Ovis aries: one gene and its partners. The protein of the gene in region 5 binds, or shares a complex with, the protein of the main gene of each other region. Links are inferred from orthologs where the notes say so. Each region holds a gene or a part of one and is shown on either strand. Other genes may lie near its edges. The genes, in order: MED13L, MED19, MED16, MED31, MED25, MED8 and MED23.

Region 1 (3,625 bases), on a different chromosome or scaffold from region 5:
TTCATTTTCTCTCAAATATGAAGATTAATTAGGAGTATAAGGTACAAAAACTTTAGTGTATATGTACTTTAGCAGAAATGTACACTAACTCTTTAAAGACAGATATGATTCTAATTTTTCAAAAGTAACAGGACTTTATATACTAAATATACAAAATTATCTAACATTACTAGGATTATTACATTATTCATCTGTATCAAAATGAGTATTAAGATGTTTAAATAAAATATAACAGGGACATGAGTCATTAAACTTCTGTGTGACTCAGGAATTTTCCAGCTAAACACTTTTATACTGTTTTCAGGAACTCCCCCCACCCCCAAGAGTAGATGCACTTTCTTTTCATTCTGAACAATTACTATCCCCTGGTGAGTAGTCCTTTTAAACTCAAGCACATAAATGGGGGAAAAAACAGCTGACTGGATTTTAAGATGTGTTAGTAAGGGTGGTAGAGGAAAATCTTTTCAATCTAATAAAATATAAAGCTATGATGGGAAAACAATGTACTTCCTGAAAAACTTGCCAACTTATCCTTTTCTTCATCCTCCAACTATGTGCAAATTTTCCTGGCGATCTATTTTGAAGATATTTATCCTTTAAAATTTAGCCACAACTAGATGCAACCTGAGGCCCTGCATCATACAGACGACTCTCACCTCTCGTGTCTTTCTCACCTCATATACAGCGCTCAAGTCCCTGAAGAAAGTTTTGGCTCCTTCGAGCAAGGCCTCGTTTTCTGGACACACCACAATATAGGCAACATCACGGTGGCCCCCATATGGGTCCAACAACAGCCTCTCCCAAAACGGCAAGGAGAATGGCGAGATGGTGAGGAAGTCCTTGTCGTAGCCGACCAGCAGGGTGGGGATGGGCAGTGGCTCAGGAGACTCTTCAGAACCTAAAACAAGACTGCAGTTTAGGAAAGCTCTTGTGAGTCCGTTTCCCACCACCTCCACAACTGCGAATTCTCTGGCAATTTGTCTTAATTCTGGCATCGGACATTTTATTGTAGGCTGACATGATACTCGTAAAAGTAGTCTTCAAATCCTCTAATTAAATGGCCCCTGATGAAGAACTTTAATTAAATGAGTCAGAACATGCTTATAAAGGTTCAGTGAGTACAGACTAGAGCAGGTTAGTGTTAGTTCTCCAAACAAAACTATCTACCTTCCTCTGAGACAGACACTATGGTCCTGACTACAAAGAAGTTGACAGAATTAGTTCAGAGGCTCATCCAGATGAAACGGCAGTGAGGACTGGGAGGATGAGGAGATTCTAGCAAATAGTCTAGTGAGGCATTATTTGCCCCACTGACCTTGATTATGCCAAAGACATTAAGAAAAATTATCTTCAAAACTGACTATTGGAAAACAGAGAGATTATAAAATGTAGTAGTCAGGAGGGAACAGATTCTATCTTGTCAGCGAAGGAAGACTTGACAGTAACTAGAGCTGCTCTTCTCACGGAAGAGAAAGTCCAGAAGGACGTGGGAAGGGAGAGAGGCCTACCGTAGGTCCCCCGGCCCGCCATCTTGTGGAACTGCTGCCAGGTGAGTGGCCCCTGCACGTGCTGGATGTTCTCCCAGGTCCTGCCCGTGCGCTTCTTCTGGATGGCGTCCTGGAGAAAGGGCTGCAGGGACAGCAGCGTACGGACCACGTCCTGGGAGGACAGCATGCTGATGTCCAGCACTGCAAGAAAAATGACAGCACAGGACAGGACCCGTCAAGGCAGGCTGCACGACCTCAGCGACAGGCCGTGACGGAGACGTCACTAGCAGTAGAGTCTACTTGCGGCAGACTCTAAGATACTTAGTAAATAATAAATTTTATTATCATTGGAAATAATAAAAGGGGCTAACTATAGAACTGCCTAATAGTGGAAAGGTGAATACGTCTGACTTTTTAAAACCATAGAGACCTGTTTCCAAGGGTATTCACAAGAATAGAGAGCTGCAAAAATTTCTTAATGATTGCTTCATAATTACTTTTAGTTTCTTACTTTTCAAAAAATCATTTATTTCTGTATGGCTATGCTGGGTCTCTGTTGCTGTGCGCAGGTTTCTTGCTGCCCTGAACAGGAGGCGGCTGCCCTCTAGTTGCAGTGTGGGGATTCTCTCTGCAGTGGCTTCTCTTGTTGCGGCCTGCAGGCTCCGAGGACAGGCTCAGCAGGTGTGGCGCACCGGCCTAGTGGCCCCATGGCAGGTCAGATCAAACCCGAGTCCCTGCTGCTGCTGCTGCTAAGTCGCTTCAGTCGTGTCTGACTCTGTGTGACCCCATAGACGGCAGCCCACCAGGCTCCCTCGTCCCTGGGATTCTCCAGGCAAGAACACTGGAGTGGGTTGCCATTTCCTTCTCTAATGCATGAAAGCGAAAAGTGAAAGTGAAGTCGCACAGTCATGTCCGACTCTTAGCAACTCCATGGACTGCAGTCCACCAGGCTCCTCCATCCATGGGATTTTCCAGGCAAGAGGACTAGAGTGGGGTGCCATTGTCCCTGCACTGGTAGATGGATTCTTAACCACTAGATCACCAGGGAAGTCCAGTTTCTTAATTACTTTTGTTCACAAATATCAATGTTTATCTGATTATATGATGAGTGGGAAAAAGGAATTTAAAAAGAAGCTTAGAACAGCTAGGGAGTCACGGTTTCAGAACTCACATTCTTCCTGCTAGCAGGAGGACTCCTTAACCTTGAACATGGAAACCTCTGAAACTCTCCCCAAACTGCACGTGCATGCATGAACACAGGTGTTATTTTTTCCCGGGGTGGGGGGGGGGGAGGGGAGAGGGTCCATAATGCTCATCAAATTCCCTTAAAGATCTGAAGAAATAAGTACTGAAGTTGGAGGTGGTCAGCTATGCACCCGCAGAGCTGGGGTCCTCAAGACCTCTCCTTGCTCTTACTTTTCCGGCCGACGAGGACGGCGGCACAGATGGAAACCTGTGACCTATTTACCAACTAAGCCTGGGACACACGGTACTGAAGGGTCTGAAGACATTCTCAGGTGCACCCTCAAATCAAACACAGGTTGCAAATCCATGGCACAGAGGTTTTGTTTTCATTTTTCAATCTGAAACAGACTTCTCATGAAATTTCATACACAAATCTGGATTTCCAGCTTCTCTTGAAAAACTAGAAAACGGTCTGACAACCGTGGGGCTGAGACCACTGCACTGCCAGAGGACCACCACTTGGAGTCGAGGAACTGCCTCCTTCAGGCAGTTTTTGACACCCCTGCCTCTGCTGCCTGCCTGAGACTGAAGCAGAATTTACCTCCTTTATCTTCAAGCCTGTGCTGCTTTTCTTCTTACAGTAAAGAAAAAAGTAAAGTACTTCTTGTACCCATGGTTCTATCCAATGCAGGAAAATAACAGACCAAGAGAGTTACAGGTTAAAGAAAAATAAAAGCAGAGGCAATTCTTTGTGAACTGTATTCCTATGCATACAAAATAGGATATTGTGGAAGGACACTGCTTTTTTGCAAAGCTAGCTCTCTACATCATTTGTTTACACGATCTGTCTGGTACTTTCAGCATCTGAATTTAGAACCCACATCTCATCTGCAATAAAACATGCTATTCTTCATATCCAAAGATGACACTACTCATCCACCCACCCAGACTGC
Region 2 (4,321 bases), on a different chromosome or scaffold from region 5:
GCATGCAGAATCTTAGTTCCCTGACCAGGGATGGAACCCAGGCCCCCTGCAAAGGCAGTGCAGTCTTAACCCCTGGACCACCAGGGAAGCCCCTCAAGTTATTTTTCTGAGTGGTCCCTCCATTCCAGTTCAGGGAGAACTCCAAGAGGCTTGAGACAGATTTCTTTACAGCGTTTTTTTCTTTTTTTTTTTTTTTACAATTCCATTTCCATAGGCCTAACAATTTTATTTATTTTTACATCCCCAGTATGCGGCACACAGCCCAGCACACAGTCCGCCCTGAGAGACTGTTAACTTGATTTTAAGAAATGGCTGTGTGCTGTTACCGTGGCTAAAGAGTGGCTGCAAATCCTCGTCGCTCACTAGTTGTGTGACCTTGGACGAGTCTCCTAACTACGCCAAGATCCGTTTCTTCATCAATAAAACGAGAATACTACAAATACTACTCGCCTTGTACAACTCACTGGTTCTTTATTAACGAGCAACACTGGAAGAGAGTGCGAGGGCCCAGTCTGGGGAAGACTCTGGTCGAGCATGGATTGGGAGGTGGGAAGGAGCTTGGCCTCAAAAGGCAGAAGGCTGAGACTGCTGGGCGAGCTAACCGGCTGCTTTCTCACCCTAAACAAGAGGAGGGTTAGGCTCGGTAACAATCCACGCCCTACACTCTTAGCAGTCTGTCAAGTCCGCTAAGAGGCCCGGAACCTGAGGCGTTCTCAAAACGGTCCCTCGGGGCTCCCGGCTGCGACCACCAGGGCGGGGACAGTCAAGGTCGTGGGGTCCCGAGGAGGGTCGCTCACCCAGTCAAAGTCACACGGGTTGCCGTCTTCGCGTTGCGTGGGGAGACTTTCGCAGACAGGGGGCAGCTTCCTGACGAGTAGGAAGGCAGCAGAGAGCAGGGCTGACAAAAAGTAGTAAGGTCGAGCCAGCCATCGTGAAAGTCGCGGGACTGAATACACGAGAGCAATCAAAGGCGCTAGGACCGCCATCTTCTCGGCCCCCTGAGGCACCGGCCGCTCTCTTCGGCTTCCGTAGGTCTGGTCCCGCCTCTCTCACCATTGAAGGTTTCCATTGGGCCAAGTGTCAGATGGCCCGCCTCTAGACCCGGAGCTAGATCTCTGATTGGCCCTCTACGGCAGGTAAGGGAGGTGAGAGAGGGATTTGATATGCTATTGGCTAACCTAGCTGTCGCTTTTACTACCTAAGTCATTTCATTGGTTAAGCGATTGCTGCGAGCGGAGGCCTCGGAAAATTTAATAATGTTAAGGAGTATTTCCTGAACGTTCTCAGAAGGCGACGGAAGTCGTTGCCGGAAGAAGGTAGGCAGGGCCAGAGGCAGTCCAATGGTAAACGACTCCTGGAGGAAAAGGGCGGTACCCCGTGAAAAGATTAACCAATGAGAATCATTAACGCCAGACACCGGGACGGCGCCGGGGCAGAGGGGACGATGGAGAATTTCACGGCGCTGTTCGGGGCCCAGGCTGACCCGCCACCTCCCCCAGCGGCACTCGGCTTCGGACCCGGAAAGCCGCCCCCCCCGCCGCCACCGCCTCCGGGCGGGGGGCCCGGCCCGGCCCCGCCCCCGACCGCCGCTTCGGCCCCTCCCGGGAGCGACAAGTCGGCGGCAGGCTGCGGCCCCTTCTACCTAATGAGGGAGCTGCCAGGTGAGTCCGAGGCCCGGCCGAAGCCGGCCAATCAGATCGCCGCGAGGTGGGGCTGGGCGTGGCTCCTAGATGCCGAGGGAGGTGAGGGGAAGCCCGGGCGGCGCGTGCGGGGATTTCGGAGCTCCGTGTCGGAAACGACTGCGAATTCAAGGCCAAAGGCACGACAGGAATCCTCAGGATGGACTGGGAATGAGAAGAATGGGTCTCTGTGGCCGCCTTTCACGCTCCGCCCTGTCTCTGAAGCTGATGGTGGTTTTATGATTCCCTAAAAGTTACTCCCTGGAGGTTCAGACGGTGAAGAATCCGCCTGCAATGCGGCAGACCTGGGTTTGAGCCCTCAGGTGGGAAGAACCCTGGAGAAGGGAAAGGCTACCCACTGCAGTATCCCTGCTTGGAAAATTCCGTGGACGGAAGAGCCTGGAGGGCTACAGTCGATGGGGTCGCAGAGTCGGACACGACTGAGTGGCTAACTGAAAAAGCACCCAGGGTTCAAGTTTGGAATTTGAGAGTCCTTATTTAACATCCTTGCGGACCTAGTTCCAAATCTGCTTCCGACTTCCTGTTGGTTTGTTGCCTTTCTTTTTTCTCTGGGCCTGGGCCTTTCCTCATCTGTTGGAACAAGTGAATAGAATTGGACCAGACTCTTTCATTCAAAAACTTATTTCGTTGAGCACCTATTTTATGTACCAGGGGTTATTGTACACTGAAGATACAACTGTGAATAAGGCTGACAAGATCCTTGCCTGTTTGGGAATTTACGTGCCCATGGAGGAGGCAAAAGGTAACAGGGTGAAATCACAAAGCAGTTACGGCTGTAGGAAAAAAAAATGTGATAAGATTTAAGGGAGCTGAACTGCTTTAGCTAGAGTGATCAGAGAAGCTCTTTCTGAGTAGGTTACTTTAGAGTTAAAATGTAAGCGCAGAGAAAGAGCTAGCCATTTATGAGTGGGAGAAGGAATAACTGGATACAAAAAAAATGAAATCAACAGCCCCAATGTGAGAAAAATCTTGTAATGTTTGAGGAACAGAAGATCAGCTGGACTCCAGTGAAGTGAACAGAGGAGTGATAGATAAAGTGAGAGTGTAGGCAGAGGCCTGTGTTAGACATTTAGATTTTAACATATTATTGACCAGAAACATGTCAATACCTTTTTTAGAGAGTGAAACCATTAACATCACCGTGGGAAGTTGTTAAAGCTTAAAATTGATCAAGGATTCATCATACAGCTTATCATTGACATTATCATTCACATTTTGCTCTGTTAGGTTTTTATTCCAACCTTGTGTACCTTATAAACACAAGTTTATTTTCATAAAATTTTAAAAAGTGACACACCATGCAGTTTTGAATGAAGAAAATTTTTTCAGTGAATTTTATGCAGATACTTTCTCTTATTGTCCGAGCAGCACCTAGTGCTGCAGCCCACGGGGTCGCTAAGAGTCGGACACTACCGCGTGACTTCACTTTCACTTTCATGCATCGGAGAAGGAAATGGCAACCCACTCCAGTGTTCTTGCCTGGAGAATCCCAGGGACGGGGGAGCCTGGTGGGCTGCCGTGTATGGGGTCGCACAGAGTCGGACACGACTGAAGCGACTTAGCAGCAGCAGCAGCAGATGATAGTTGTTCCGAATGTAGTTCTGATTCAGATGATGTGACTATTAGACCAACAAAGAGACAGAAAACCTTAGTGATTGTTTTCTGATACGGAAAGTGAAAATGAAACTCATGGTGCTGGAGAAGACTTTACAGGTGTGTCAGCTGTAACTATTGAATGTAATAATGCAAAGTGGTAGTGAAATAGCTGAATTAATTATTGCGTTAGTTTCTACAAAAATCCCCCTTTCAATAATGTTACTGCTTAGTGGTCCAGGAAAGAGGTGGTTTAGACTAGGCGATAGCAATGGAGGAAAGAAGTAAATGGATGCAGGATAAATGTTAGAGGTAGAACTGACAGGAATGAAGGATTGAATATAGAAGTGGAGGAGAGAGGAATTGAGGGTGATTTCGAATTTTTGGCTTGAATAACAGGATTGATGGTAGTGCTGAGGTCAGGCAAGAACAAGTTTGAGGAGGTGGAAACCGGGAGTCATTTTAGACATACATGTTAGTCTCAGGGACATCTTTCAGTTCATCCCACGTCCATAGCTTTGACTGTATGGACCTTTATCGGCAAAATGATGTCTCTACTTTTTTAAAATGCTGTCTAGGTTTATCATAGCTTTCCATTCAAGAAGTAAGCATCTTTTAATCCCATGGCTGCAGTCACTGTCTGCAGTGATTTTGGAGCCCAAGAAAATAGAGTCTGTCACTGCCACCACTTTTTCGCCTTTTATTTGCCATGAAGTGATGGGACCTGATGCCATGATCTTAGTTTTCTGAATGTTGAGTTTTAAGCCAACTTTTCCACTCTCTTTCACCCTCATCAAGAGGCTCCAAAGTTCCTCTTCACTTTCTGCTATTAGAGTGGTGTCATCTATCTGAGGTTGTTGCTCTTTATCCCAGCAATCTTGATTCCAGCTAGTGATGTTTCAGTAGGATGTTTATACCTTCAACGACAAATGCAAGTTGAAGGAATTTGAGCTTTTTCCTGAGGGAATGGGAAACCATTAAGATTTTTGAACTGACTCCAGCTTCTAAAGATATCTAGAGAGCATGGG
Region 3 (4,326 bases), on a different chromosome or scaffold from region 5:
GCTTTCTCATACTGAACCCTGGCCCAGTCCCTGGCCCCACCTGACAATGAGGAGAGTGACGGCTGAGATATGACTCGGGGACTGACCTCAGCACCCTGACCCAGGAGGCTCCCCTCTCAGGGAGACACTGGGCTGAACCGTGGGGTACAGACAGGAACCAAGGGCTGTCACCACGTCAAACCACGTGGGAGATGCTAGCAACACAGATGCTGACAACTGGGTGGCAGGTGTGACAACCTGGCACCATGAGAGGAGGAGCCAAGCCCTCCCTGGGCTTGAGGCCTGCTCCCCCAGGCAGGACACCCACCTTTTCCACATGCAGGGCCAGTTTTACACCGTTGTGCAGCCAGGACAAGGCCACGATGGGGTCCCCTTCCACCACGCTGCCCACGGGGCTCTCCCAGCTGTTGGCCAGGTGGTCAGCCATGCTCCAGCACTTGATCTGCCCATCAGCATCAGCTGACAGCAGACGAGAGCCTGAGGGGAAGGTGGGAGATTGGGCAAATCTGCATCACAAGCCCCATCCCCGCCGTCCATCAGGGTGGGGGGGCCGGAATGTAGAAGTCGTAGAGCAAGGGACCAGCACAGGTGAGTTCAGAAACAGGGGCGAGAAGAGCAGAAGCCTCAAAGGCACAGGTCAGGGTTTCAAGTCCCAGCTCTGAGCCTAGGGCTAAGGCCAGGAAGACAGAGCAGGCAGCCCTGGCATTCAGGGTGGAAGGCTGCCCTCACCAGACTGGTCCCACTCCAGGCAGGTGATGGCCTCGCTGTGCTCTGAGCGGATGGAGTGCACGTCCCAGGGATGCTCAGTGTCCAGGATGTGGATCATGCGGGTCAGGTCTGCGAGGGACAGTGAGGTCAGTGTGGCAACCACGGCCTGGTGCCCGACCACCCCAGGGGATTGGGCTGTCAAAGCCTATCAGGAAGCGTTAAAGCCAGGCTGCAGGGACTCCAGAAACATGATTTATACACAGGCAGCCCAAGGGGAGACCCATGGCCTTCTGTGAGGTTACAACTGTGCTTTCAAAAATGGACCCAAAACACTAACAGCGGGTGTCTCTCCATGAAAGGTTAGGGTTCTCCTCATCCTAAAGTTTCACGTTTTCCTAATTTCCTCTAAGAAGTGCATATTGCTCTGTGGTGGGAAGAATATCTGCCCTGCGGCAGAGTGCACCGCAAAGCTGGTGGCAACACGTGCAGCTGGAAAACTCCTGCAGGAGCTTCAGCAAGCCATAAGTGGCCACCACCCCCTCTCCCCCAGCCCTGCAGACACGGCCATTCCTCAAGGTTATCTCTGTGCCCCTCAGCACCCCTGTCTCAGAGGAGGAAACCCCATGGGAGCTGGGGGGAGGGCCCTATGAGGGGGCCTGGGATGGGGGTGGCACACCCTGGTCATCGCTGCGCAGGTCCGTGGTGAAGGCGATGAGGTTGCGGCAGGACCAGGTGCAGGCAAGGGGACCGGATGGGCAGTGGGTGCTCTTGGGCCATTTCTCCCACTCACAGATGTAAGCCAGGTCCATGGTGCCCAATTGCCAAGGTCACACAGGGAGGACGGTCACCAGCTCCTACAGGAGGGAAGACAGGCTTGTCATCCATCTTCACAGGGTGCCTGCAGGGCCCCGAGTGCGGTGGTGGATGCTGGTTACCACGGGGGACAAAGTGGACTCAACCCCTGCCCTGTGTGTGGCCAGGGAACTGCGTTTTACACAAGCATGGCCAGGGATCAATCCATGCAGCTGGGAGGAAGAGCATGCCAAGAGGAGAGAACAGCCAGTGCAAAGGCCCAGAGGCTTGACTGAGCCTGGGATGCTCAAGCAGTATCCAGGCCTGCAGAGCAGGAACAGAGTGAGTGGGGGCGAGAAGCAAGGTAAGGTTGGGGAGGGGATGAGGCAGGTCTTGCAGGGCCTGGGGGTTTTACCAGGAGGAAGATGGGAGCCCCAAGAAGCCTGTTTCTGTTTCACAGGCCCCTCTGGCTGTCTGAAGGGCACGGCTGGGGAATGGATGGTGGCGCTGGTCCAGGTGTACAGTGACGGGGACAGTGAAAGCTGCGACAAGAGGTAGCACCCAGGTCTATTCTTAAGGAGGACACAGGAGAACCAGTGAGGCTGCCTTAGACAGAGGTAGGGAGGCAGGGTGGGGGTTAGGCAGCAACTTGGGGCCTGGCTTCCAGGGGTACAGAAAGGGTCAGTGAAAGCTTGCTCAGCAGGCTCTTTGCACCCAGCCGCGACTAAGGTTATTTCCTTTCACCTTCCCAATCACATTACCCGCTGCTTCTTAAAGCCCCGCCCCAGAACACTGACACCCCGCCCACAAGCCCAACCAACAGTCATTTTAAGCTCTGCCCCCAAAGCCCTCCGGCCCCGCCCCTACAAAATGTGCCTTCCAGACCTCACTCTCAATTTGTCCCTGGCGTCCCCAGGCCCGGCCTAAACTTCTGTTTTTATTCCAAAGTCGCCAAAACAATCCCAAAGCCCCTCCTCCACACACCTGGCCACCTGGCCACCCAGGACCCGCCCCAACCCACCCGACAGTCCCTAAGCCCCGCCTCAAATGCATCCCAGGCCCTCCCCGGGGAGGTACAACCTTAGGCCCTCCCCGGTTTTACACCGCCCAACGCAGGGAGCCTCAGGTCACCCCAAATTTCCGCCACGACCCCCCAGACCACGCCCAGAGCCCTCAGGGAGCGTACCCAGCACCCTCTGCTCTCCAGGACCGCCCTCTGACTCCACAGGCCCTGCTCCGACCCATAATCCCAGCAGCGTCGGCGCCATCCGGAGGCTGGCCGACTGCCCAAGCCCCCAGCCCCACACTCACTGGACCAGCCTGTACGCCCACCGAGAAGGAGGCTGCCGTCTGCATTCGCTCTAACGCCCCGGCTCCGGCGCCGCCATCTTCCCAGGACCAACGAGTCTCCCGCGCAGCCCGGCTGCTTCCCGGAGACTTCTGGGACCTCAGTGGCTCCGCCCCGCTTCCGGGGTAATTTGCATACAATCGTGCCTTTCCAACAGCCATCTGCGTTATATTTGATGGAAAAAACAAACTTTCTCAATTTAAGTGAATAATCCCCTTAGATTAGGCCATTATTGCACTAAGTTAGTAAAAAAAAAGGAAAATTGCTGTATTGGTTTTTGATAGAATTCGCCCTCAGCGTAAAGTATTTGGTTCTGTCTACTATAAATAGTTCTGGCGTCTGTTCGTGGTTTGTGCTCGCTTCGGCGGCACATATACTAAAATTGGAACGATACAGAGAAGATTAGCATGGCCCCTGCGCAAGGATGACACGCAAATTCGTGAAGCGTTCCATATTTTCGCTTTTTATCACGATGTCTAGCCAACGTGTAACTCGCTTATAAGCCAGGTAACTCAACCCATCAAGGGCCGGTAGAATCAGTCTCCATCCTCAATTCCTCCTCCAAAAGCTGTCGGACTCTCCCCAGTCTGGAAGGTCTTTTCCAGAAAGACATAGGATTGATTGCAGGGAAGGGTATGACAGAGAGCAGGCAACATCTGGGCAAAGGTCTGGGGGCCGGGCTGTCTAGGGACGCGGTGTGTGGAGAATCTACACAGCCAACCAGGAAGCTGGACAGGACGGAGTCCGCGTGGGTCTGGAGGCAGCCTGTGGGCTTGCCCTGGGCCCCCCACCCGTGCCCTGAGCCCCAGCCGGTCCTCTCAGTTCAGTTCAGTCGCTCAGTTGTGTCCGACTCTCTGCGACCCCATGGACTGCAACATGCCACGCTTCCCTGTCCATCACCAACTCCCTGAGCTTACTCAAACTCATGTTCATCGACTCGATGATACTATCCAACCATCTCATCTTCTGTTGTCCACTTCTCCTGCCTTCAATCTTTCCGAGAATCAGGGTCCTTTCCAATGAGTCAGTTCTTCACATCAGGTGGCCAAAGCATTGGAGTTTCAGCTTCAGCATCAGTCCTTCCAATGAATATTCAGGACTGATTTCCTTTAGGATTGACTGGTTTGATCTCCATGCAGTCCAAGGGACTCTCAAGGGTCTTCTTCAACACCACAGTTCAAAAGCATCAATTCTTCGGGGCACAGCTTTCTTTATGGTCCAACTCTCACATCTATACTGGAAAAACCCTAGCTTTGACTAGACTGACTTTTGTAGGCAAAATAATGTCTCTGCTTTTTAATACACTGTCTAGGTTGGTCATTGCTTTTTCCCCAAGGTCAAGCTTTTTTCCCAAGTCTTTTAATTTCATGGCTACAGTCACCATCTGCAGTGATTTTGGAGCCCAAGAAAATAAAGCCTGTCACAGTTTCCATTGTTTCCCCATCGATATGCCATGAGGTGATGGGACCTGGAACAAC
Region 4 (4,332 bases), on a different chromosome or scaffold from region 5:
ATCCCATGGACAGAGGAGCCCGGTAGGCTACAATCTATGGGGTTGCAAAGAGTCGGACACAATAATACAAGGAGGAACTTTCTGGAATCTAGCTAACAACGGAATTGGCTGCCCCTGAATTAGTATGTGTTCACTAGAAACCTCCAGCCAGTATACAGATGACCATCTCAGCAATGTTGTGGGTAAAATTGAACCTGACGGTGTCCAGGGCTCAGTGTCCAACACTGAGTCTCTAAGTCTATAATACATACATATAACATGTTGCAATCTAGTAAAAAAATATATATATTTTCTCTGGATTATTAAATGAATAAGTGGTTCTTTTATAAAGGGCCAGTAAGGGTGGAAAGGGTCCCACAGGCAAAAGGAGGATGTGGACTTCATAAAGCAGCTGTTATTAGACAGAGAAAAGTGGCTTGGCCAAAGTACAAGTCTTAAACATTCTCCTCTCAAACTTGTGTCTGTTTAGGGGAAAAAAAAGGCTAGACATTTCACCACTGCTTTTTGACTACCTATTTAAGACAAAGCAGAGGTGGGTGTTCAAGGCTTATTTTTTATCATTAAAAAGAAATGTTTGTGATTACAATATGCTCCTTGCATTTCAGTAAGCCTTAAAACGAGAGTATCTATTGCACAACCTGAATGATAAATTCATGTATTTATTATGTAAGATATATAAAATAAGAAAGCAGCTATTAAGACTCGGGTACGGTTACCTTCTCCAGAAACCCTTGCTTACAAGTAAGTACCTCTTTCTATGTTTTTTCATTTTCAGGCTATGGCTGTCATTGCATATATGGACTGCGGGTTCCTTGAGGTCAGAAACTCAGTGAGATGCAGGGAGTGGTACAAGATAAGGTCAGAGAAGACAGGGACAGATCACACAGGGCTAAGAGACGAGATTTTCTTCTGCATGCAATGGGAAGCGACCAAAGGGTTCTAATGGAATGTAATTTCTATTTTTAAGAGACCAAGTTGGCTTCTGTGCAGAAAATGTTTCTTCTTTGTTTGGCAGGGCAGGGAGAAAGGAGGAATACCAATGAGTAGATACTGCAGTAATCCCAGTTAAGTTAGAGATGATGTGTCTCGTATTAAAATGGAGGCAACTGAAAGGAGAGCAGAGATTCAACAGGTATTTTTTCCAACGTGAAAGTAAGAAGTCTATTAAATATCAGTGCTTTGGAATATAATAAAAGTACACACATGTTTAGGACTATAAAAATTAAACTTACTTTAGATACTTGGCATATTCTGGTTCTTTCCAGTAAAGCAAGTACTTAAGATAATTAACAAAAGCTTTATCTTTGAAGTAACCTCTTTGGGCAAGAACTGAAAGGCATAAAAAAAAAAAAAAAAATACATCTGTAGAGCACACCAGTCCTTGGACTACTGATCTGTGACTAACATAATCGTAAAGAATTTACTTACATAACATTCCCACCACCAACACACACTGAATTCAAAACAGAAGTCCCAGTTTGCTCAATTATATATACCAGTATAAGTGCAACAGTCATTCCATTCAGTTAAGAATGTACAAAACTAGATACTAAAGTCATCTCTCAGAATCCACAGGGAGTTGGTTCTAAGAGGCCCCGCAGACACGAGAATCCACAGGTGCTCCAATCTCCTGTACAAAACAACATAGTGCCATGACAGTATTGTCACCCTCAGGATGGGCAGATTCCACCAACTGAGGTTGCCTCCAAGGATACAAAGGGCTGACAGTACTATGAATTTTGACTCTTCTATCAGAAATCGTAACTAGCTATTCACTTCAATGAGGTGCTCAACAACTTACAGTTAAGGTAATTTGGGTTGGCTAAACACTGTACAAATTCCAACTCCAACTGAAACCGCAGTCGATTTCCAGCATCATCTAGGAGAGAAGATAGCAAAATCATCCAAAATAAATGTCACTGTATATAATACTGATTTTTAGACAGAAAACAGCAGTACAGACATCTGACTAATGCTGAGTTACATAAAGAAGAGCATGCAAAGGTTTTCCTAAACTGGGTGTAGGAGGAGAAACACCTTCCTTATAAGTCTAAGGAAAGCAAAGCCCTGATTAAGAAAAAAAAAAAAAAAAAAAGGTTTATCTAAAGTTAAATTATCAAAGAAAACAAGATTATACATGGAGCAGAACATTAATCACTCGTGAGCCACCATGTTGGGACTTCACAGTGATCACTAGGATAAGCTGCAGCAATGTGCCTTGCCTTATTTTGATAGTGCGTTACAAGCTGTTAAGTGATCAAGCTTAGCAAAAACAAAATGCTAAATCCATCAAGAGACGTTCAGAATGCAAGATGAAAGAGACCCTGGTGAGTATCAAGAAACGCGTGCTTACGTGAGACCCGTTAGTGGCACAGTAATACAAGAGTTCGCTGACGATATTTTAAACTTAGGCAAGCTCATCTGAGATGCAAAAAAACAACTCGAGGAAGCGGTTTATGATCCAAAATCTCTCCTTTAGTCTTCTGGAAGCCGGTGGGGCCACTGTTTGAATAACTAACGGGGAGAAAGGATCGGCCAACAAAACAAACTCTGAAAAGGCCAAATTACCTTCGCCCTTCCAGTCGCTAAAAAAAAACCCTGGTGCCTCCCGCTCCGATCACTCACTCTGCCGGGAGTTGGGCCTGGATTCTCAAAAAATCCCGGGAAGCAGGTGTCTGGACCCGGGACAGTTTCTATTTGACAAAACGCGAGGCTCAGAGCGCTACTCACCTGTCTCCATAGCGACGGCCGCGGCCATCACCAGCAGACACTCTTAAGTCCCCAGCAACCCCACACAGCCAGGATCGGAGAAACAGGGAAGGTCCGGAAGTCGCAGCGTCCCCTTCCTGCCGCGGGGCAGTGTGGGATGCGGGGGTGGGCACAGCTTCGCAAGGGGGCGGGTGGCTCCGCCCATCCAGGGCCCGCCCCGCCCCAACCCCGCCTCCACCCGGACAGGTTCTTGACAGGCTAAGGGGCGATGCGGGGGCAGACGGCGCTCTCGAGGGGACGAACCCAGCGTTCCCAAGGAATCTTAGGCCTCCCCGCCCCAAGATCACGGTGCCTCCACGTGGTTCGCGGGACCCTCGACCACCGCTCTGCCTGCATCACAATGGCATGTGACGTCGCTCCTCACCGTATAAAATAATCCTTCGGGGATTGTGGGGCTGTGGGGCCTCCAAAGGTCAGCTTGGCCCTGTTACCCCCATAAGATGGCCTCACCCCTTCGGGGAAAGCCCTCTCCGGCCCGGGCGGAATCCATCCGCTCCGAGGAGACGGCGACGGTCAGCGTGGAGACCTCGTCCCACCGCGTGGAGACATCCTACCGTCACGTGAGGACATCTTCCCGGCAGGTGGAGACCACCCAGCGCAGCAGCGAGGGACCCTCCGTCTCCTCCTCTGGGAAGCGGCTCCCTCGAGTCCTCGAGGTGTCCTCCCAGCACGTGGAAACCGCCTCGCAGCTCACAGAGACGGCTTCCCGCCACGTCAGGGCCTCGTCCCTGCGGGTGGAGACGTCTGTGCACCGCGTGGAGAGCACGCCGCGGCGGGAGAAGCCAGCCGCCCGCCATAACATCCAAAAGGCCCGATGAAATGCTGCCTTCCTCGGGGCCACGAGGGGGCCATGGCCCTTGGCCAGGGCAGAATCGCCTCCAGTTCGCAGCCTGCCTGCTGCCAGGTGGACCGATCATCTTTGGTTTCCTGGAAACAGTCCACAGATCAATTTAAGAAAGAGCCAAGCTGCGGTTTCGGGATTTAGCCAACATTCATTGACCCTCCTGCACCTTGGACCAAAGGCAAGCCTTTGACCCAGTGAACTATTTTAATTTGAAGCCAGCATAAAAAGTTTTTAGGCTCTAGATACTGTATGTGTTAAGCTGATGGAAAAGAGACTGTTTGAGCCTCCAAGGCAGGTGAGTTTTGAATTGGGGGCCCTTTAAATAACCTTGGCTGCTTCAAACCTGGAGAAGGAAATGGCTACCCACTCCAGTATTCTTGCCTGGAGAATTCCATGGACAGAGGAGCCTGGCAGGCTACAATCCATGGGGTCACAGAGACCTCGACACAACTCAGCGACTATCACTCACTCACTGAATGACCTTGGCTGCTTCAAACTTAGGGACAAGGAGCAAACAAATCATAATCAGTGGAATTATATGCCAGCTGCAAACCTGAGTTGCAAGCAACAGACTTTCCTTAATTAATTACTTGGCTTGTGTTTATGTTTCAATATATTTCTCTTTATGCCAAGTCTTTGTGCCTGGTAGCCATACACACAGGTTTTAATAGAGGTCACATGTAGTTCAAAGGGAAAAGTGAAGGTCGACCTCAACAATC
Region 5 (4,286 bases):
TACCAGGGAGAACCAGAGCATGAAGGGCGTTCTGGACATTCGTTCATTCGCTTGTTCCACAAAGTTTTCCTTGGGGCTCTTTCATGCCAGGCCCTGTGCTGGGTGCTAGAAACTTGAGGGACATCAGACTTGGACTTGAACCTCAAGGAGCCCCCATTCCACATTATTCAAGTCTCACCACAATCTGTTCCAGAGGTTCTCGACTGGGGCGGATTCTGTCCCCAAAGGGACATCTGACAATGTCTGGAGACATCTTTGTTTTTATTGTTTATCACACTGGGGAGGGAGGAGACCACTGGCATTGGGGGGGAAGGAGCCAAGGATGCTACTGAACTCCTTACAACACACAGGAATGCCCCCCACCCCTCCACAACACACATACAATAATCATCTGGCCCAAAGGGTCAACAGTGCTGAGGTTGAGAAACCCTGCTCTGCCCTGACCATGAATTCTAACAACCATAAGGGGGGAAAGTGAATGTGCAGTGCCTGGTCTAGCACGTGAAGCCTGAAACAAACCAAGTGTTCAACAAACATTTGCTGCAGATAACAGCAGCCCACGAATCCGGTTGTTTAATGGACTCTGACCAGACCCTGAGCTGAACACAGTATGAAGATTAGCTTCTGTGACCCTTCTCTGAGTGCTGATATGGACTACCGTTATCCCTCTGCAGACCAAGAAACCAAAACACAAAAGAACAGCAAAAGCTGAGGGAGCGCTTAATCGTGTCAGGCACTGTTCTCAACAGTCATCAACTCGTTTGATTCCCAAAGTCCCCTATAGTGTCACCGGAACTAGATCTCCACTGAGCACCATCTCCTGGTATTCATGCCCCCTCCAACACTGAACAGAACTGACTTGTATACTAAACAGAATGTGACACAAATGATGGTGTGACTTCTAAGATTTGATTATAAAAATCTTTGTAGTCTCCTTCTGCTCTTTCTGTTGGATTGCTCAGGCTGAGGAAGGCCAACTGCCATGTTGGGAGGACACTCAAGCAGCCCCATGGAGAGATATCTTAGGAATAACAGCTAGCAAGGAACAGCTAGCAAGTTGGCCTCTGGCCAACAGCCACAGGGTTAGCCACCTTGGAAATGGATCCTCTGGTCCCGATCCAACAGTTGGATGACTGCGGTCCCAGCTCATCTGACTGAAATCCCACAAGAGACCGTGAGTGAGAACCATCCATCAAAGCCACCCCTGAATTCCTTACTTAAGGAAACAAGCCACTAAATTAATTTTTTTTTTTTTTTTTGGCTGTGCCCCTCAGCATGTGGGATCTTAGTTTCCCCACCAAGGATCAGACCCATGTCCCTTGCAGTGGAAGCACAGAGTCCCAACTGCTGGACCATCAGAGAATTTCCAAGTCACTAAGCTTTAATCTGTTTTCCCAACACTGGATAAGTAACAGGATGACTATAAGTACTATTACCGTTCCCCTTTTAGAGATGAGTTCTATTAGACACAGAGGACAGGGACTCGTGGGTCTGGCAGTCCTGTTGTGGTAGAGCTGAAAAGTGGCCCCAGGCTGTCTGCACCTGCAGTGTGAACTATCAACATTGACTCCAAAGCACAGAGGCTTAGCCCCACCCCTCTTGCGCTCAAGCTTCAGTGCCCCTAGTAGGAAAAAGAAGGGCTAGAGTAGACAAGAGAAGCAACAGACAGAAAGGAGAATAATATATGAGGAGTAGGACGGGTGCTGGACTTCCCCAGGCCTCCTTGACCAGGAAATTCTTTCTACTTCCAAGCCAGACAGCAACACCAGCTGAGCATACAGAACCGACCACTGAAGTGACCTAGGGACAAAACCACAACCCCCATCGCAGCCCTTTTTAGCAACCAATGTGAGGGGCTGGATCCGGCAGCACCATTCCTCTGCCGTCCCTCCCAGGTTCCCCCAACCCTTCCGGAAGCCGAGAAAAGAGCTCACTTAATGCCATCGAGCCAGGTGACAAACTCATAGGCGCTGCTGGTGGGAGCGTGACATTGTACGTAGGACTCTGGAGCGCAGTCCACCGTGTTGAACACCACGAGGCTGTACTGGGTGCCCCCATACTGGGAGGGGAGGACAGGAGAACTTTTCATCTGGGACCCAGCTCCTTTTTCCCTCAGGGGAATCGGAGCTCCCAGCCCCTCCTCCCTCGGACCCGGGGGTCCGGACCCCGGTACTCCCACCTCAGACCCAGGACCCGAGCCCTTCCCGCCTCGGACCCAAGACCTGAGCCTCCTCCCCTCTCGGACCCATTAGTCCGGACCCCAGTCCCTCCTCCCTCAGCCCCAGAACCCGAGCCCCATTCTCCTGGAAACCAGAGTCCAGACCCCAGCTCCTCCCCGCTCGGACCCGCAAATCCCGACCCCAGCCCCTCGGACCCAGGTGTCCAAACCCCAGCCCCTCCCGCCTCCGACCCCGGAGTCCGGACCCGAGCCCTCCCACCTCGGGCCCAGGGTTCAGGTACCGCCCCCTCCTCCCGCAGACCCAGTCCGGACTCCCATCTTCCCTCAAACTCGAGAGTTCCAAGACTCACGTCTCCGCCGAAGTCCGTCTCGGCAGGAGGGCCGCCATTAAAATACCTGTGAGGGTCGGAAGTGAAAGGTCGGGGTGAGGAGAGAGTGTGGAAAACTAAACTCGGAGGGCGGGGTTGGGGCCGCGGAAACGGCACTCACTCTATGGCCGGGAGCAGGTAGTGCTTGCGGAGCCCCTCGAAGTAGGGCCCCAGATTGGCCGTGCCCTCAATTACAAACACCACGTCAGCCACGAGGCCCCCGGCGCGGGCCGGGCCCTCCGACCCGGGGACCATGCCCCGCGCCGCAGATGCCGCCGTCGCCGCCACCGCCGCCACCGCCGCTGCCGCCGCCGCCTCAGACACCGCGGGCTGAGCGGAAGTGCGCCTGCGCCGCGCGCGCCCCCGCGCGGGACGGCCTCTCGGCGCTGGCGGCGCGCTGGCGGCCATGTTTGTGCGGGGCGCCCGGGGCGGGTGGGTTTATCTCCATCCTCCTTCGCTCCCAGTGTGTGCAAGACTCAAAAAGGACCTAGAGAACTCCTTCGGGGACCAGAGGTGGAAGCTTGAATTATTTGCAGAACTTTCGAGGGCGAAATATACTGAAAGCGGCGCGTCAGACGCCATTTTTGAGGGGGGGGCGACCTTTCCGACACCGGTTTCAATGGAAGGGCCGGGAGACCTGGTTGCTATGCAACGCATACGCTGCCCTTGTTTTCCTAAAAAGACAGATTAGGTTTCTAGTTAAGTTCTTACTGGTTCTTGGGGGATGGGGGTGGGTGGGTCGTGTGAAGGGTCCAATCACAACGTCTAAAACGGGGTTACTAGGCAACGCTTTAAGGTGGCAATCAACTCTGAAAGGAGTGCAGCTGTTTTTTCCCCACTAAAAGAAGCCGAACTCTAACCCGAGTGGAGGTTGCTAAGCAACACCTGATAGTTGTTTTCTGGGAGAAGAGCCAGAAACTGGCCTAGAACATGAATACATTCCAGGTGGATTAAAAATGTAAATATAACAAATGAAACCATAACACTGTATAATCCTGAAGACTGGGGAAGAGTTTCTTATCATTACAGCAAAGCCAGAGCACGGAAAATATTGAGCTGTTTGTCCGCAGAAGACTTCATAAACCAAGCTGAAAACGATACGGTAAACTGCGGAAGTCACTGTAACATGTGTTGACAGAAATTTACTACCCAAATACGTATTACTGATCAATACAAACTTAGGAAAACAGAAATACTTTTTTTTTTTAATTGGGGAGGAAACTAAGCAGGTTTTTCCTGTACGCAAAAACATACTGAAAGTCGCTCATATGCACAAGTTAGTAAGTGCTAACACAGGGTCCAATGATAAGTCAGTTTATCTTTGTCATGTTAATTAATGCTGGAAAAATAAGTCCATGACGGTGGGAAGGTTTGGGTGAAATGAGCAGGCTCAGACGTGATCTAGTGGAGATGAAAACCAAAACAGCTTGCTCCAATGCAGTTTGTCAATATATTTCAAGGTAAAAGGGTGCATTGCTTTGCACTCAGCAGTATCACTGTTTTGTCTCATGTACTTTATTGATCCTTTTATTTTCTTTGCTGAACGCTTGTAAAGCAAATCCCAACATCGTATCATTTTACCTCTACCTGCTGGATAGGCATCTCCCCAAAGTTGCAGGTAACCACTATGCCATTAACATCTCTAACAAAATTCTTACTTCTTGGTATTGTCGAACACTTAAATCCATAATCAAATTTTCCCAGTTCTCACAAAATGTCTTTTTACAATTGTTTTATTT
Region 6 (4,326 bases), on a different chromosome or scaffold from region 5:
AAGATTGAAATAGGACAGAAGGACAAAAAGCAAGGCCTCCAAAATGTAGCCCCCACTTATTGCCACACACTACTGCATATTCAAAATTTCTAGATAGAAACCAACCACTGTGCTGTCAGTCCTCATTTAAGGGCTTTGTTTCCTAAGCTGCATCCCTCTCCTCCTCTTACCATGAGATCTTCATCTCGGTCTGGGGACAACACCAGAGGGATGATGACCTGGTTGCGGAACAGTGGTGTCTTTTCATGCTTCAAGACCTTGTTCAGAGTGTTCAGCTGTCCAGAAAGCAAGGCAAAGCTGTCCAGGACAGATGGCCTGGTGGTGGTAAGAAGATGTCAGCATGTTCCTGGTAAAGGAGCCTCAAAGGGGTCCCTCGGACTAGGAATAACCAGACTCACCCCCAAAACACTCATAGCCCTATGCTGGCCTGGGCAGGAACTAGACTGGCTCGCAGGGATTATGGGGTTAAGAAAGAGGGATACACTTTGAGTTTCTGACACAGATGGAGAAAAAAAACAGGTCATTATAGCAATCCCCACTTATCCTAAGTTTCACTTTCTGAGGTTTCGTCTACCCGTGTCAACCACAGTCCAAAAATATTAAATGATAAATCCAGGAAATAAACAATCCATGTTTTTAAATTGGGAGGTGTTCTGAGGAGTGTGATGAAATCTTGCTTCATCCCACTCTGTCCTACCCAGGATGTTGATCACCCCTTTGTCCAGCATATCCATACCGTATACGGTACCCACACAAGTAGTATAGAAAAAAAAAAACAACAACCCACAGTATATACAGAATAGGATTCAGTACTATCATAGTTTCGGGAATCCACAGTGGGTCTTAGAACTTACCCCTGATAGATCACGAGGAGCTACTACATTTGAATGGGGTGAGGACAATGGCAAAATAGGAACGATGGCTACACTATTATCACTAGAACTTCAGAAACCGGGTGAAAGATCCCTTTCCAGATCCAAACTTTCCTAGATTGGACCTAAAAGACTTGGCAAAACCCGTGCAAGAAATCCAGTATGAATACTGTGGTGGGAGGACCCACTGCAGGAGGACCTCATCCTGGAGAAGTCAAACAGGGAGAATCAAAAGCTAGAAAGAACCTGGGTTGAGAAATTGGGCATTTCTCTACTACCCTTAAAGTTGAGGTCCAAGGCCAACTTCAGTGTTAAATGTTGGGAAAGCCAGCTCTTTCTAAATCAAAAGATGTTCACAAAGTGATAAATGCTGGAGGAGGTACCCTGTGCAGCAGGTGGCCTAGCCCCCACCCATAGAGCCCTCCCCAGCTTGCCCTGGCAACTCTTACCAGGTCAGCCGGTCATACTCGTTCTCCAGCTTGTAAATGAAACTCCCCAGTGAGTTCTTCAGATCAGCCACTTGACTCAGCAGTGCATCTAATGATGCCTCAAGCTGTTTTTCCTCCCTCTGAGCCAATAGGAATAGGTTGGTTACTCAGCTGAGTGTAAGGATGACACATATAGAGGAAGGCTGAAAAGCCAGGGTGACAGTGTGCAACACCAGGACAGTGACACAGAATCTCATTGGCACAGGGACAGTCAGGCTGTTTCTGTCTCCTGTCAGCCGGGCTCCACCCCTATTTGGAGTTAGGATCACAGACAGCATCAACCCTTAGACCTTAAAACCCATTCATCTGACCTCAATTCCTCTTACCTACTGATTCCTTCCTCTCATCGCTTTTAATCCGGGCGTGACTGTTTCTCTATATTAGGCTTGGTTTGTATCTGTTCTCCCTCACTGGACAATTTTCACCAGACGTAATGCCTGGGATTTATTCTGTTCGGCACACCTCAGCAGCAGACGTACTCTGACGTCCTATGTTCTAGAACCTGCCTTGTGAACCTGGCTGTTCTTGGCAATGACATAATCTCTGAAAACCTACCTATACAGGAAGGCTCCTCTGAATACTGCCACCGTCACCTTCCTCTTCCCTCAGCATTTGCTGTTTCAACCTCCTCCTTGCTAAATCAATCTGCACTCACTTTATTGCTGTGCCAATATTCCTGTGCCCCTTTCGCAAGCTTAGTCAACCTATAAAAATGTACTGACAACTACCCTTCTGCAACAAACAGTGACAAATGAAAAACAAAACAAAACAGCAACCAAACCGCACATGCCCCTAAGCACTAGGCAAACTATATTAAAAGCTGAGGGGTCTCCAGTTTTATCTCATTTCACCCTTTAACTACTAGGGGTACACACTAGGAAGAATGAAACAGAACTGCAAAACCCCGAATGTGGAGGACACGAGCCGGGTTCCACCCACGGCCTCAGATTATTTAGTCTGGCTTCTGGCCACCACGGTCCCACAATTCCTTCCACCCTCGGGCTTCTCTCCAGTTAGATCCTCTGTTCTGTCAACATCCAACGTCTAGGCCGGGGCCTGAGCCCGAGCCCAATCCACCTCTTTCTTCAGCCGTCTTCCTTGGACTGCACCTTCCCAAATTTCAACTTGATCCTTTTCCACACCCTATCAACAACTTGATCCTTTTTCCACACCCTAGCAAGACAGTGCTGCCTTCTCCGTCCCAACCTAACCGCAGTTTCTGTCTCCTGTCAGCCGGGCTCCACCCCTATCCCTCTCCAGAGGTCCTCGTCCCCATCGCGCGTCCCTTTATCTCACAGTCGCGGTCTCGACCAAGTCCTCTCATCCCTAACTCCTCACTCTCTCCTCGGCCAGCCCACTTTCTGTCTCGTTACCCCAAGCTAGCTACCCGTCGCTAGCGCCAAACCGGTCCTCACCTGCATTGCTGCGGCGGGGGGCGGTGTCAATCACTTCCTCTTCCGGTTCCCAAGTAGGCCAATTAGAAAGCTCAGAACTCGACCCTCCCACTCACTTCCGGCCCCGCCAGTCGCGAGACCTCCGGGTCAGGGGTCAGGAGCGGAGCATCTTCTCTGGCCCGGGCCGGCGCGGGAGGGCTGTGTGATGGCCTCGGAGCGCCCGGAGCCGGAGGTGAGGGGCGGGCGGGCGCAGCGCTGGGCCTGTAGATCCGAGGGGGAGGGTCCGGCGGCCAGGCGCGGCCGTGGCCTCCTCCGGGTCTGGGGGCCGCCTGGCCCTCCTGAAGGCCCAATAGTAGCATCTCCTCACCCCTACTTTCCTCGGGGAGGCCTAGAGGAGGAATTCGTGGCTCAGTTTTGTTTGCCGAAATTTAATCCACGATTCTCTACTCTAGGGCTCTTGGGTTCTTTGACCTCGTAATGGCATTCAGAAAATCTGTATTTTGATCTTCTGTTGCAGTTTCAGTGGGCAGGTTTGCCGGTTGCTGCCTCATTCAAATATTATTGGAATGCCATAAACAGCATAAATTAATTAGGTTCTAGCGCTCATGCAATTGGAGAGCAGCTTAGATTTCATGAAAAAACGTTGGATTCAGAGTGAAACCTCGTTCTGGTATTGGCGCTGCCCTGTAGCTATCTGTGCAACTTTGGGCAAATCTTGACTTCCCGGATCCTGTTTCCTTCTTTGTAAAATATCTATCTTCAGGTCTATTGTGAGGATCACACGTTTTAAATGGGAAAATGCAAATGAAGCATCCATTAAGTACGAAGGACCATGCAAGGAACTTTTGTATACATTGTGTGGTTCAGACTTGTGCAAGGAAGGTGACAATACCCATTTCCATATACAGACAAACTAAAAATCGAGGGAAGTGAAGTACCTTACCCAAGTGCTACTCTCAGCTGGGGAGTGGCAGAGTTTTGTAATTAGAAGTCTAAAATGTCAGATTTGGAAAGAAAACATCACTAGGAGAGTTGCCCAATGTTACAGGAGAACATGTGAGTGGATGGGAAGGGTGAGAGGTGTATAATCATGTATTGAATCCTTACCTATCGAATGCTTACTGTGTCCCAGAGACCATCTTAGCGCTTTACCAATGTCAAAGATTACTCTCAACCCTACACAGTAGACACTTATCCCCATTTTTCAGTTGAGGAAACTGAGGCACAGAGGTTTTAAGAGTAACAAAGTTGCACAGCTAGTAAGTGGCAGAGCCAGGACTCCAAAACAGGTGGTCCCTTGTGATCTTGTGTTCTTAGCCATAATGTTTACAGTGCAAAGAGAAAGTAGCCACAGGATGGTAAATCTCCAGTGCTAGGATTTGATGTAATGAGATCCAAGATTAAATACAACTGTAGGAAACTACCCTATTAAAAAGGATCAAATGTGCTCACAGGGCTGGTGGAGTAGCCTAGGCATCAGAAATACCATTACTGAGGAATACTCAAGGAATTTGGAGCATGTTTTGTGGATTAAAATGAGAAGACATGGAGGGATGTTGTGAAATACAACAA
Region 7 (3,625 bases), on a different chromosome or scaffold from region 5:
GAAATCGAAGAGCCGGAACGGATAGCCGACCCACTCTGTCTCAGACGTCAAGCTGGGACTGCTGATAACACTCACTATTCGATCGTGAAGGACAATCCAATATGGCTCCTTTAAAACCAAGAAAAAGCCTGAAGAAAAACACCATTTCTCTAGTAATCCACTCCATATCCAGTATTCTACTTCAAAAGCCTAAAATAATAGCACTTTCTCATTCTTTAATGTTTTCTATTTATCCAGCTTGGTGGCTTCACAATGAGTCAAATTAAGTCAATAACAACCTGGGGAGAAGTGTCTGTGAGTTAAGAGTGCTCCAGACATGAGTCTGTCTAGTTAACTTAATAGCTGATATTTACTACATGGTAAATTGACTTTATCTATACTTACTATACAGGTAATGCTGGTACACAATTACAATTCACAAATATGTAAATATTTTGGAGGAGTGTAAGGAAAAAGTGATTCATAAAGATGCATAATAAACAAGTTTGGAAAGCACAGCTTTAGACAATATTACTGACACTCAAAGATGTCAGACATCTGTGTGGTACTGACTAGATATGTGTGGAGGTCACAGAGGGAGACACGGCATGAGTGGAGAAGGTATAGAAGGCTTCGCTGAAAAAGCAAGCCCTAAGTTAGCAAAGAATGAGTATGCTTTAGGGAAGGTAACAGAAGGAAAAGCATCCTGGTATATTCTCTTAGATGGCAGAAGTACCAGAAAAATGTCTCAACAAGCATCATTTGCAGGAGGAAAGGATAAATTAGAGATACCAAGGGAACATTTCATGCAAAGATGATCTCAATAAAGGACAGAAATGGTATGGACCTAACAAAAGCAGGAGATATTAAGAAGAGATGGCAAGAATACACGGAAGAACTGTACCAAAAATATCTTCACAACCCAGATAATCACGATGGGGTGATCACTCACCTAGAGCCAGACATCCTGGAATGGGAAGTCAAGTGGGCCTTAGGAAGCATCATTACGAACAAAGCTAGTGGAGGTGATGGAATTCCAGTTGAGCTATTTCGAATCCTAAAAGATGATGCTGTTAAAGTGCTTCACTCAATATGCTAGCAATTTGGAAAACTCAGCAGTGGCCACAGGACTGGAAAAGGTCAGTTTTCATTCCAATCCCAAAGAAAGGAAATGCCAAAGACTGCTCAAACTACTGCACAATTGCACTCATCTCACATGCTAGAAAAGTAATGCTCAAAATTCTCCAAGCCAGGCTTCAACAATATGTGAACCGGAGATCAAACTGCCAACATCTGCTGGATCATCGAAAATCAAGAGAGTTCGAGAAAAACATCAACTTCTGCTTTATTGACTATGCCAAAGCCTTTGACTATGTGGATCACAATAAACTGTGGAAAATTCTCAAAAAGATGGGAATACCAGACCACCTGACCTGCCTCTTGAGAAATCTGTATGCAGGTCAGGAAGCAACAGTTAGTAAAAGACCTGGAACAACAGACTGGTTCCAAATAGGAAAAGGAGTACGTCAAGGCTGTATATTGTTAGCGTGCTTATTCAGCTTATATGCAGAGTACATCATGAGAAACACTGGGCTGGATGAAGCATAAGTTGGAATCAAGATTGCCAGGAGAAATATCAACAACCTCAGATAGGCAGATGACACCACCCTTATGGCAGAAAGTAAAGAAGAACTAAGAGCTTCTTGATGAAAGTGCAAGAGGAGAGTGAAAAAGCTGGCTTAAAGCTCAACATTCAGAACACAAAGATCATGTCATCTGGTCCCATCACTTCATGGCAAACAGATGGAGAAACAGTGGAAACAGTGGCTGACTTTATTTTTTGGGACTCCAAAATCACCGCAGATGGTTACTGCAGTCATGAAATTAAAAGATGCTTACTCCTTGGAAGAAAAGTTATGACCAACCTAGACAGCATATTAAAAAACAGAGACATTACTTTGCCAACAAAGGTCAATCTAGTCAAGGCTATGGTTTTCCATTAGTCATGTATGGATGTGAGAGTTGGTGTGTGAAGAAAGCTGAGCACCAAAGAATTGATGCTTTTGAACTGTGGTGCAAGGGACTCTTGAGAGTCCCTTGGACTGCAAGGAGATCCATCCAGTTCATCCTAAAGGAAATTAGTCCTGAATATTCATTGGAAGGACTGATGCTGAAGCTGAAACTCCAATACTTTGGCCACCTGATGCGAAGAGCTGACTCATTTGAAAAGACCCTGATGCTGGGAAAGATTGAAGGCAGGAGGAGAAGGGGATGCCAGAGGATGAGATTTGAGTAAACTCCAGAAGTCGGTGATGGATAGGCAGGCCTGGCATGCTGCAGTCCATGGGGTCGCAAAGAGTTGGACATGACTGAGCGAGTGAACTGAACTGAACTGAAAGGATCTAGATACATAATATGTTAAGGGGTCAAAAATAGATCAGATTTTAATTGGAAAACTAAGGTTGGATAGGAGTGGGACCAAGGGATGTAGGGACCCATAGTCAGGTAGGTTTATTTAGATCTGATGCAAAAGAGGCACTGTAGATTTCAGAAGTAATAATAAAGTGAAAAAAAAGAAACATTCATTAGTTGCATGATGACCTTGTTTAAATCACAATGATTAACTTACTGGTAGCGCAGTGATGATCAATCCAATGGCATTCATCCATGCTGTAATGTTCTCTCTTGGCACTAAAGGCTGACTATTAGTTGGGAAAAAGAACAAAAAGGTGAAATTATAAAAACATTTTATATGGTTGCCACTGTATCTTACTTTGAGAATATATATAATTTGGGGGCTGACAACTGATCTGTTTCAGTAAAACTACAATGGGTTTTTAGTGAGTAAAAATATAAATAAAAGCTAAATAAGGCTTCTCAATTTTTTCAATTTTCTTCTTTAACAATGGTTGCTGAGCTGAAAGACTATTTCACTACTTTACATTTATTCTCCAATCATTATCCCCTACTTTATACTGGCCTTTAAGAAGAAAATCTTGAAAGACTGTCTTTAGGGAGAAGTTAACATTATTCCTAAGTTAAATGTCAAACAGCTAATAAAGAGTAGAGTAGAACAAATCCAGGTTTTCTGGCTGTTCAGGGCTCATTCCATGTCACCTTTATCACTAAGACAAGATCTGGAACCTAAAGATACTCACTATTCAATGTGCCCTGGCCTTGGGGCAATGGGTGTGTCTCATAGCTCCAAATAAAATATCATTCTCTTAAACACTGAATCTTATGGCATGAAACAGGATACACACCTCTTCAGGACAACATTTAGAAGAGCATTTCCAACATCCTGGCCAGAAACAGCCAAGGCCATGAGTTCCACACAAGTAACATGCAGTGCGTGGGCAGCGGGGTTGGGAAACTCATTGAACCTCCAGTCACAGTTTGGGAATGGACCAGGAGATTTGCCAGCCATCGGTGCAGACGATTAAAGCAATAACTGGTTGATAATTCTGAGATTAAAGGCTCCTGTTTGTATAGTGCTTTATAGTTTTCAAAGGTTCAATATGTAAATATTTCATTTGATTATCAATATATCTGATTATGAGCCCTCAATAAGTGATTTATTGGAGAGCTTAAGAGGCAAATAATACAAACTGAATACAAATAAATCTGACATGTGTTGATAGCAACC

The links.
Region 1: MED25 (region 5) and MED13L share a complex: the UniProt entries of both Homo sapiens proteins name them as parts of the mediator complex. The link is inferred for Ovis aries from reciprocal best matches to the Homo sapiens genes MED25 and MED13L.
Region 2: MED25 (region 5) and MED19 share a complex: the UniProt entries of both Homo sapiens proteins name them as parts of the mediator complex. The link is inferred for Ovis aries from reciprocal best matches to the Homo sapiens genes MED25 and MED19.
Region 3: the proteins of MED25 (region 5) and MED16 are in contact, whole or in part, in a cryo-EM structure (PDB 7EMF), measured with the Homo sapiens proteins. The link is inferred for Ovis aries from reciprocal best matches to the Homo sapiens genes MED25 and MED16. Residues at the interface, in NP_112235.2 of Homo sapiens: Ala26, Asn27, Gly29, Pro30, Tyr31, Val74, Asp75, Cys76, Ala77, Pro78, Glu79, Val82, Cys84, His85, Pro87, Lys102, Phe103, Met104, Gly105, Gly106, Gly107, Gly108, Glu109, Thr120, Gln123, Leu124, Asp127, Phe128, Tyr151, Leu152; in NP_005472.2 of Homo sapiens: Cys41, Arg42, Ser92, Ser94, His113, Arg161, Lys163, Phe171, Gly172, Gly173, Lys174, Pro195, Gly485, Tyr486, Ala516, Ala517, Gln520, Val521, Thr524, Arg525, Ile554, Ala555, Ser558, Lys561, Ser562, Leu563, Leu564, Arg565, Pro566, His567.
Region 4: MED25 (region 5) and MED31 share a complex: the UniProt entries of both Homo sapiens proteins name them as parts of the mediator complex. The link is inferred for Ovis aries from reciprocal best matches to the Homo sapiens genes MED25 and MED31.
Region 6: MED25 (region 5) and MED8 share a complex: the UniProt entries of both Homo sapiens proteins name them as parts of the mediator complex. The link is inferred for Ovis aries from reciprocal best matches to the Homo sapiens genes MED25 and MED8.
Region 7: MED25 (region 5) and MED23 share a complex: the UniProt entries of both Homo sapiens proteins name them as parts of the mediator complex. The link is inferred for Ovis aries from reciprocal best matches to the Homo sapiens genes MED25 and MED23.

Annotation. Positions count from the first base shown.
Region 1 is NC_056070.1:58,903,872-58,907,496, reverse strand, and holds part of MED13L (mediator of RNA polymerase II transcription subunit 13-like), read right to left. Parts: exon of another isoform or gene 1,689-3,625; coding exon 1,509-1,688; exon of another isoform or gene 899-1,508; coding exon 675-898; exon of another isoform or gene 1-674. UniProt on the Homo sapiens protein: Component of the Mediator complex, a coactivator involved in the regulated transcription of nearly all RNA polymerase II-dependent genes.
Region 2 is NC_056068.1:79,750,135-79,754,455, reverse strand, and holds the start of MED19 (mediator of RNA polymerase II transcription subunit 19), read left to right. Parts: upstream 1-1,411; 5' UTR 1,412-1,444; coding exon 1,445-1,661; intron 1,662-1,719; exon of another isoform or gene 1,720-2,342; coding exon of another isoform or gene 2,343-2,442; intron 2,443-4,321. Other genes in the region: TMX2 (thioredoxin-related transmembrane protein 2), read right to left, coding at 798-986. UniProt on the Homo sapiens protein: Component of the Mediator complex, a coactivator involved in the regulated transcription of nearly all RNA polymerase II-dependent genes.
Region 3 is NC_056058.1:41,109,487-41,113,812, forward strand, and holds the start of MED16 (mediator of RNA polymerase II transcription subunit 16), read right to left. Parts: upstream 2,917-4,326; 5' UTR 2,812-2,916; intron 2,043-2,811; 5' UTR 1,916-2,042; intron 1,563-1,915; 5' UTR 1,518-1,562; coding exon 1,385-1,517; intron 838-1,384; coding exon 730-837; intron 478-729; coding exon 308-477; intron 1-307. UniProt on the Homo sapiens protein: Component of the Mediator complex, a coactivator involved in the regulated transcription of nearly all RNA polymerase II-dependent genes.
Region 4 is NC_056064.1:25,114,828-25,119,159, reverse strand, and holds the start of MED31 (mediator of RNA polymerase II transcription subunit 31), read right to left. Parts: upstream 2,826-4,332; 5' UTR 2,759-2,825; coding exon 2,731-2,758; intron 1,880-2,730; coding exon 1,802-1,879; intron 1,330-1,801; coding exon 1,233-1,329; intron 1-1,232. Other genes in the region: C11H17orf100 (uncharacterized protein C17orf100 homolog), read left to right, coding at 3,210-3,587. UniProt on the Homo sapiens protein: Component of the Mediator complex, a coactivator involved in the regulated transcription of nearly all RNA polymerase II-dependent genes.
Region 5 is NC_056067.1:55,910,306-55,914,591, reverse strand, and holds the start of MED25 (mediator of RNA polymerase II transcription subunit 25), read right to left. Parts: upstream 2,898-4,286; 5' UTR 2,803-2,897; coding exon 2,669-2,802; intron 2,576-2,668; coding exon 2,530-2,575; intron 2,060-2,529; coding exon 1,935-2,059; intron 1-1,934. UniProt on the Homo sapiens protein: Component of the Mediator complex, a coactivator involved in the regulated transcription of nearly all RNA polymerase II-dependent genes.
Region 6 is NC_056054.1:18,067,152-18,071,477, forward strand, and holds the start of MED8 (mediator of RNA polymerase II transcription subunit 8), read right to left. Parts: upstream 2,804-4,326; 5' UTR 2,782-2,803; coding exon 2,776-2,781; exon of another isoform or gene 1,687-2,775; intron 1,441-1,686; coding exon 1,322-1,440; intron 316-1,321; coding exon 171-315; intron 1-170. Other genes in the region: KICSTOR complex protein SZT2, read left to right, coding at 2,960-2,986. UniProt on the Homo sapiens protein: Component of the Mediator complex, a coactivator involved in the regulated transcription of nearly all RNA polymerase II-dependent genes.
Region 7 is NC_056061.1:57,013,126-57,016,750, forward strand, and holds part of MED23 (mediator of RNA polymerase II transcription subunit 23), read right to left. Parts: intron 3,409-3,625; coding exon 3,243-3,408; intron 2,682-3,242; coding exon 2,609-2,681; intron 129-2,608; coding exon of another isoform or gene 111-128; exon of another isoform or gene 109-110; coding exon 1-108. UniProt on the Homo sapiens protein: Required for transcriptional activation subsequent to the assembly of the pre-initiation complex. Component of the Mediator complex, a coactivator involved in the regulated transcription of nearly all RNA polymerase II-dependent genes.